2 linked regions of the Oreochromis niloticus genome follow. The protein of the gene in region 1 interacts with the protein of each later gene in a pairwise test. Links are inferred from orthologs where the notes say so. Each region holds a gene or a part of one and is shown on either strand. Other genes may lie near its edges.

Evidence for each region.
Region 2: the proteins of dzip1 (region 1) and ppp2r5a interact in binary tests that used the Homo sapiens proteins (3 or more experiments, as listed by UniProt). The link is inferred for Oreochromis niloticus from reciprocal best matches to the Homo sapiens genes DZIP1 and PPP2R5A.

Annotation. Positions count from the first base shown.
Region 1 is NC_031986.2:5,484,604-5,488,522, forward strand, and holds the start of dzip1 (cilium assembly protein DZIP1), read left to right. Parts: upstream 1-1,366; 5' UTR 1,367-1,481; intron 1,482-1,861; 5' UTR 1,862-1,973; intron 1,974-2,540; 5' UTR 2,541-2,685; coding exon 2,686-2,688; exon of another isoform or gene 2,689-2,730; intron 2,731-2,886; coding exon 2,887-3,489; intron 3,490-3,919. UniProt on the Homo sapiens protein: Molecular adapter that recruits protein complexes required for cilium assembly and function to the cilium basal body.
Region 2 is NC_031980.2:13,646,868-13,650,786, forward strand, and holds the start of ppp2r5a (serine/threonine-protein phosphatase 2A 56 kDa regulatory subunit alpha isoform), read left to right. Parts: upstream 1-1,341; 5' UTR 1,342-1,457; intron 1,458-2,054; 5' UTR 2,055-2,243; coding exon 2,244-2,391; intron 2,392-3,919. UniProt on the Homo sapiens protein: The B regulatory subunit might modulate substrate selectivity and catalytic activity, and might also direct the localization of the catalytic enzyme to a particular subcellular compartment.

The sequences.
Region 1 (3,919 bases):
AGTTACAGTATTTTTCGAACCATAAGGCACGCCGCATTATAAGGCGCATTAAGCAAAACAAAACAGTCAGATAAGTCAAACTTTACTCAAATCATTCTTCTTGCTTCCTCTACTTCCGTACCATTGATTCATCAATATTGAATTCTCTGCCAGCTGCTCTATTCCCGTGTTCTGGACCTGAAAACAGGGTTTGATCTTTGGTTTCATTCTATAATACTGGACTTATTTTTCTACGAAGGTTTGAATTTTGAGAGTGTTTAAACAAGAGAGAAAAGTGTGAAAATGTTCAAGCCTGTCTGAGAAAAGTGTATAAAAAGTGTAGTGAGGGGTTTTACAGCCTTAAAACATCTATAATAATTGTAAAAAATGAAGCTGGCTACTTCGCGGATTTCACCTATCGCTGGTTATTTTTAGAACGTAGGGGATACTGTATACTTATAACCTTATAACACAAAAACACGGGTAAAGAAGGAGGCAGGAACTAACCAAGGAAGGAACACAGAGCCACAAGGAACACATTTTTGGATGACTCAGACAATAAATACACTGCAGACAATGAGGGTAAAATAAAACACGTGGGAAACAGTAGAAACAAACCAGGGATAACGAGTCAGAGAAGGTTAAACTGAACATAACACACACACACAACATAACATGCAGACTAACACAGAGACGTTTAAACTTGGCACAGACAAAAAGGTCAACAAACATGAAGACATGATTGACTGAGGAGATTTGGCACAGAAAGACCAGACAGATGATGACTGGGAACTAACAAAACTATACATAACAAACGCTGGGCAAAGGACTAAACATGAAAGGAGGAGGTGGGGGGGTATCAAACCAATAACACAAGTCTATAAATGTTTAGAACATAAATCCCTTAAAATCAAAGACAAATCATTAACTCACAAAACCAAAAGACTTTGAGTCAAAGACCCAGGGACCGTGGTATATGTTGCTTTATAACCTGTCAGCTGTAAATACCTCACATGGAAAAATAACAACATTAACGCATCTACGAAGTCTAGCTAAAATAACAACGATCACGAGAAGTTCAAATCCGCTTGAACGTGTGTTTTTATTTTTTGTTCCTTCTTCTTCTATGGAACTGAAAAGAAAGGACGAAATAATTCAATAAAGAAGCAAACAAAAAAGGCAAAAGGAATCAACCACAAGGTGGAGCAAGCCTGGCATGCTGTAGGTTAGAGGATCGGAAAGTTTTCAAAATCTTCACATGCATCTATACATGGTGCGTTTGCGTGTAGATGTGCTGGTGCCTCACAATTTCTTCTAATGTGCTCTCTTTTTATGTTTTTAAATGTGTTTAAAGTTATTTCCTTCTGCTGAAGTGGGACGATTCTACACCCCTATTCAGCCCCAAATTGAACAGCTGCTCCCTTCCCCCACTTCTTACTGCGAGATGCGTCAAACTCACGGCGGATCACACCGGAAATGATGTTTACTTCGCCAAAGTACAGGTTCGTAGTAATTCTTGGAAAGCTTTGGTGTCAAAGCTCGAAATAGACTTTTCAGAGTGACAGATGTGTTTCTACTCGGATCAGTGAACTGGAGTTTCCGCCGTAAAATAAGACATGAACCTGAATTGAATATCGCTATAAATTAAAAATGTAAATCATAAAAATAAAAGAAAATGAAGGCTCAGTCAGGAAAAAATCTGAGGTTAAACATATAGCATATGGCTAATGTTTGGGAACATTGTACTACTGCGTTTCTGTAAAATGAAATAAAAAGATTTAAATTTAGCTTAAACTTTGTCTGCTGCATTGGCGTTTTATTTTAAAGGCAAGCGCCGGAAGTGTCGTATTTATTACGTCTGTCTTGACCGTTGTCTTTTCAGAGCAGGCATTTAGGAATGTGGAAACCAGCAGCTACGTTACCCTCAAATCCCCTAGGATCTCGTCGAAAATAAACTTTTTTAAAGGCCACGAATTAACATCACAATCTTCCAGGTAAGTTATTTTTCATGTGGTAGTCCAATGTCAAACTCAAGATTAAACATTCACAGTTGTTAGTGATGTGTAATAAGGTTTAATATTGACTTAAGAAAAATGTCCGTTACCCAGACAGGCAGGCATGAAGGGATTTCAAAGAGTTGTTCTTTTCTTTAGCTAGCGGCTTGACTTTTCGGAGAAGCTATTGTGGTCTTTCTTTTTTTTTTCTAAAACGTAACTTGAAGTCTTAAGAAGGACAAGCTCAAGCATGTCTGCTGTTGTTTGACTTGAGGTCAAGCAGGGGAATAAAACAAAAGCCTGCCCGAAGTTGAAATGACTGTTTAGAGACGTGACGGCAGATTAACGGTATTTGCTGTTAGCATGGAAAACGTTTTCCTGAACCTCCCTCGTGCTCCTCCGCAGGTACGTTAGCTCTCCTTTTATTCTGTTTCACACCGTTTAGACGGAGGTGAATGAGGAGACTTTGTTGTACAGTATAAGCTGATATGTACTGCAGGTTACAGCGCACTGTGAACTGTGTGGACACGTTTTGTTGGTCGCTGTTTTGATAACGTTTCTCCCCAGGGACGCTCGCCGCTGTCTCCAAGGTAACGGGGCGGACGCCTAATCTTGCTTGTCGCTTTGTGCTGCTTTAGCAACGGGGGCGGAACCGGAGAGGAGTGACGGCTCTTCGATCTGTTTCTCCGAGTAAAGGCAAAACCAGTCGAAGATGGTAAGGGCGATTGGCTGTGTGAGGACAGCAGCAGCAACATAGGTAGAAGGAGGCAGAGCAGGAAGTGGTGGAATCTGTGCTCTGCCGTTACCCGCTGAAGCAGATGCTTCTTGATGTCTCTCTGTCTTTCTTTCTCTCTCCTAGTGATTGTATTTGATGCTAATGTGACTCCATCCCTTTCTCTCCTCTCTTTTTCAGCCATTTCACGAGGGAGTCTACTACCCTTACACCAGTGACACCCAGGGGAACCACTCATCAGCCGGGATCCCCTCTCTTCTGAATTCTCCTCTCAGCCAGAACATTGTAAACGGCCACACAGCATCATCCGCACCAGGCATGACTCCGTCCAGCACCACCTCCACCTTTCTCCCTTTCAAGTTCCGCCCACGCAGAGAAAGCGTGGACTGGCGGCGGATCAATGCAGTGGATGTAGACTTAGTAGTGAGCCAGCTGGACGTGGATGCCCTTCAGGAGCACATCAGCATGGTGACCTTCTGTAGCTTGGAGGGGGAGCGATGCCAGCGGTGCCAGACCCCCGTGGACCCAGCTCTGCTGAAGCTCTTGCGCCTTGCTCAGCTCACGGTGGAGTGGCTCCTCCACTGCCAGGACTTTCTCTCCCTCAATCTGCGTGTGGCGGAGGAGAGACTGTCGGCCACCGGCAGGGAGCATGAGCAGCTGCTGGTTCAGCAGAAGAAGCAGGAGGAGAAGGTGAAAGCGCTGACTGCAGAGCTCAAGCAGCGAAAGAAGGTTATTCGCACCCAGCAGTCGCTGCTCGCCCCACGAATCATCAGCAGCCACAAGGTACCGTTGACAGGCTAAACGCTTTCTCTTTGAGGGCCATTGGAGCTGTTTGAATTTAATATATGTGTGGCAGCGGACATCCACCCCCACCCTCTTTTTTCCTCTCCTCAGGCCCAAGTCTGTCATTGTTCCTGAAACCTATTCACATGTGTGGCTTTGTGCATTTCACAACAGGGTTTCAAGGGAAAAAAGCAAAGCTTTTAGCATGGCCCAAGGAAATTTGCAGCTCTGAAAGCAGTTGTTATGTCCTAACCACAGTCAAGTTCTAATAATCTTTGTTTTCATGCAGGAAAAATCAGACTTAAAGCTGCTGAGCAAATGGTGTCATTTAGTGGCAATTAGGGTATTTTTTTAATCTAAAAAGGAAAGCAAACCCATCTGCCATCTCATCGTATGTCTGTGAATGCTGTCCTTGTTGGTTATTTATCAC
Region 2 (3,919 bases), on another chromosome or scaffold:
GGAACGTCCACTCCTGGGAAGATGTTGGCATTTCTAAATGTTTCAAACCAGCAAACTGCCCAAACCTCTGCTTTTATTGAGATGCTCACACTTGCTGATTATTAGTTTATGAAGTGCAATTGATTGGTAGCACTTGACCACTACTTACCCTCTTAATTCCTGTGGAAACAGTGAGGGACTCCCTAGACTCCTGTTAAAAAATTTTTTTAAAACAATGTTTTGGATCCTTTTTTTTTCTAATGAAAAACTTGTTAACACTTACTGTTCCATTTCCATTATAATAGCAAATACATTTTCAAGTTAATAGATTTACATTTGTAAATTTGGAATTTGAAGAGGAATAAGGTTGTATCCATAGGGGGGAAGAAAATGGTAAAATCTACTACAAGATTAATATAAATAGATTTAAAAAAAAAAAGAAAAAGATAAATGACAATAATTAACATTGAGGATGTTAATTATTAACATCTTTATACAATCCATATTTAGAATTAGGCCAAAGGTTTCAGGACTTAGATCTATGGCACTCTTTTTAATAATTTAGGATATTTAGAATACATTCTTCTAGATTTCTTCTATGTTACTTTTGATGTAAGTGTAGTGATAAAAATAAAACTTTCTTGTCTCTATTACAGACAAAGTAAATGTACTAAAATAGAAACCTAATTTCCTGTGGAAAGGCCCTTATTTTAGGGTTTATACCTGTATTTTATAAACACACACAGCATGTAATGAGGAATGCATCGGGTTAGGGCGTGATACAGGCAGGGCCAAAGAGTGGTGTGAATTCCTAAATAATACAGTTTTCCAGGGTGGAATGACTGGACAGCATACGTCTTTAATGACTTTAAAAAACAAGAACAGGGTGCACAAGTTTGAATTTATTTTGGATTTTCTCTCTGGGGTTATGAGTGTACATACAGGCTCAAATATACACTTAAATCTTTTAATAAGTTTTCGGTGGGAGAAACGTTTCGTCACTCATCCAAGTGACTTCTTCAGTTATTTGTTATCGGAGTTTTTCCAAATGCAATATCTCAGGATCTCTTTTTTTTAATCCTAAAACAATCTGTGGCTTAAAAACTGAAACTATAAGTGGGATAATTCTTTAAAAAGCGCAAAGAAACACGCGGTGACAAATTGAACTCTTATTATATTATCTTATTATTATTTTCAATGTATTGCTACGAGACGTGTCTCAGTTTTTGTTCAACACCACTGCCTGTACAGCATCACCTATTTGTTTTCACATGTCACATGTTCAAGTCCCGCTTTCTGCGCGGCTTGATTGGTTTAAAAAGTTCCAGTTTTTTGAAATTTTCGCCTCTGATTGGCTGTTAGCAGCGTCAATCAGTGACGTACCCCTGTCAGCGCTCCGCAGTCAAGCTCACAGACACACAGTGACGGAGCGGCTGCACTGGGAGTGTTTACGGCTGCCTGCCTCAGCTCGACATCCAGTAATTTGCTGTTTTTGACAATACTCGGTCTTTATCGAGGTCGTGCTAGCGAAACAGTCTCACGCGATTCACTCGGAAGTGTGACGAAGGGTGAAATTTCTCTTAGGTGGATGAGGCTAACTTTCAAGCGCTAAATGAGTCGACGAGCGAAATTTAACTTCATCGATCGCGGATAGTTTTTTTCTCTCAAAAACACACTCAGCAGAATTCTGTCTAGGATTAAACCAGTGCTCGGAGACGCGGAATTTGTGTTTTAACGAAGAGCTGCAAAAAATTAACGGGGCAACTTTCTTTCGTAACTTTTTCCCCCCTCAGCAGCGGTGCAAATTGTTGTAACCGTCAGCTAATTTTTAGCAGGCTAGCTAACTGTCAGCTTAGGTCTACTGTAGACAGCTTCAATCCGGCAATGCATCTCTTATGTTTTGCAACAGGTAGACGTTTTTCGATCACAATGCAGCAGTAAAAAATGTCAGAAATTTAGGAGCTTATTCTTGTCGTGTTGGTCGCTCCGTGCTGTGTAGTGCGGGCGGTGTCGTGTGACTAAATTCGGCTTTTTTCGTATTTTGAAGACTGTCCCCCCTCCTCTGTATTTCATAGAGCAAGATAATGATGCAGTCTTTGGGCACAGCTTAACCTCCGTACCGACCGACCATGTTGGATCATACAAAAATAACACAAGCCTTCTGATGTGAAAAGGGGAAGGAAGCTTTTCGTATGACCTAGGAGATACAGTGCAAAAAAGTGTCAAGGTAGTTTTTTTTTTTTTTTTTAATTTTATGCATCAAAATGTCGGCCATCTCCGCATCAGAGAAAGTGGATGGGTTTACGAGGAAGTCCATGAGGAAGGCACAGAAGCAGAGAAAATCCCAGGGCTCCTCTCAGTATCGCACTCACACCGCTCCGGTCGAGCTCTCCCCGCTGCCGCAGCTCAAAGGTAAGAGGATGAAGGGGTCCGCCGCTTAAAATAGTCTGCCTGTCATGACCGCTGTGTGTGTGTGTGTACACTGTCGGATCCACTGCAGGTACACTGTGCATGCAGCCAGAAATGCATTGCACATTTTAAAGCTGGTCTGTATGCAGAAACCTGCCAAAAAAATGAAGCACATCTATTAACACTTGCAAGCAGCTTGTAAGAGTTGACCACAGGGTGTTTGAAAAGGCTCTGTGCCAAAGTGTGTTAAATTGGTTTTGTATTCTTGGAGAGTTTTGTCAATAGTTGTATTAACATCTCTTGATCCATTGTTTTGTTTTGTTTTGTTTTTGTGCTTGCTGGATGTTGTGTAATGACAAATGCACATCTCCAGAGCCATGTTGTCCGAGTGGCTAAGAAGGATTTATGTATTTGCGTCAAGGTGTTTTGAAGGATCAGTGTCTCCACACCTGATGCACTGATTGTAAAATTGAATTTGGCTTTGATATAAGTTTTGATTTGTCATGTTTTTAGTGTTTATTCCTTGTCTTGTACACACACACAAATAGCTGCCTTTTTTTTTTTTTAAGTCCAGCCAGTACAGCTCTTCATCACTCTACCATTTTATTTTATTTTTTGGCAAGCACTGTCTGTGTAGGGCCTCAGTCAACCAGACCATGATAGTCTTGAGGGTTTGAAAAAGAAGGCATCTGGACTTCTTTAGGTTTGTGAAGAGGTTTCGGCTTTCATCCAAGAAGCTTCTTCAGTTCTAAAACAACTGGTGGAGAGTCCTGGGTAATTAACCCCTAGTGGGGGACTGTCCCCTTTGGAGGTGATTCTGAGCGTCATGTTGACTCACATGATCAATAGTGGGTCAATAACCCTTTTGTCCTCACAAACCTAAAGAAGTCCAGTTACCTTCATGCATTGCATTTTCAAGCTTGTAGGCAGCTGGTTCAGAATGGGCCTTTGATGGGTAAGCGTTTGTCTTGCCTGACTTAACAGAATTTTATGTTTTTTCCCTGTTATCTCTGCCCATTTAATAAACAAATATAATTATTTAAAATATCTGTTTATAAGTTTTCAAATTCTTAAAAATATTAAAAAGAATAATACCGGAAGCTTACTAACAGACTAAATTAACATTGTTACTTTGTGTTGCAGGGGTTCATAGTGCAGTATGATAATTTATAAAAACGATAAAGATTCAATTTTTCAATCAAGCTGATGACCGGTAGCCAGACTTTCTAAAGGAGACCTGCTTTGTTTGACATGGGTGTAGCACATTTTCTAATTCCTTCAGCCACCCAAACTGGAAAGTTGGATGTATCTCAGACTTTTAAGATTGTAGCACAATTTTTCTTGCTAACATTGTCTATAAAGCCTGAGCTTCATAACGACACTTCACACTATTCGAGTCAACCACCCCAAACAATGCTGTAAGAGGGGCAAAAGGAAGCACTCTGTTAAAAGCCTTGATAAGTAACTCAAATATGTGACCCCCAAAAAATCTGTAATCTGTTAGACTGCACAAACTGATGAGATGGATTTC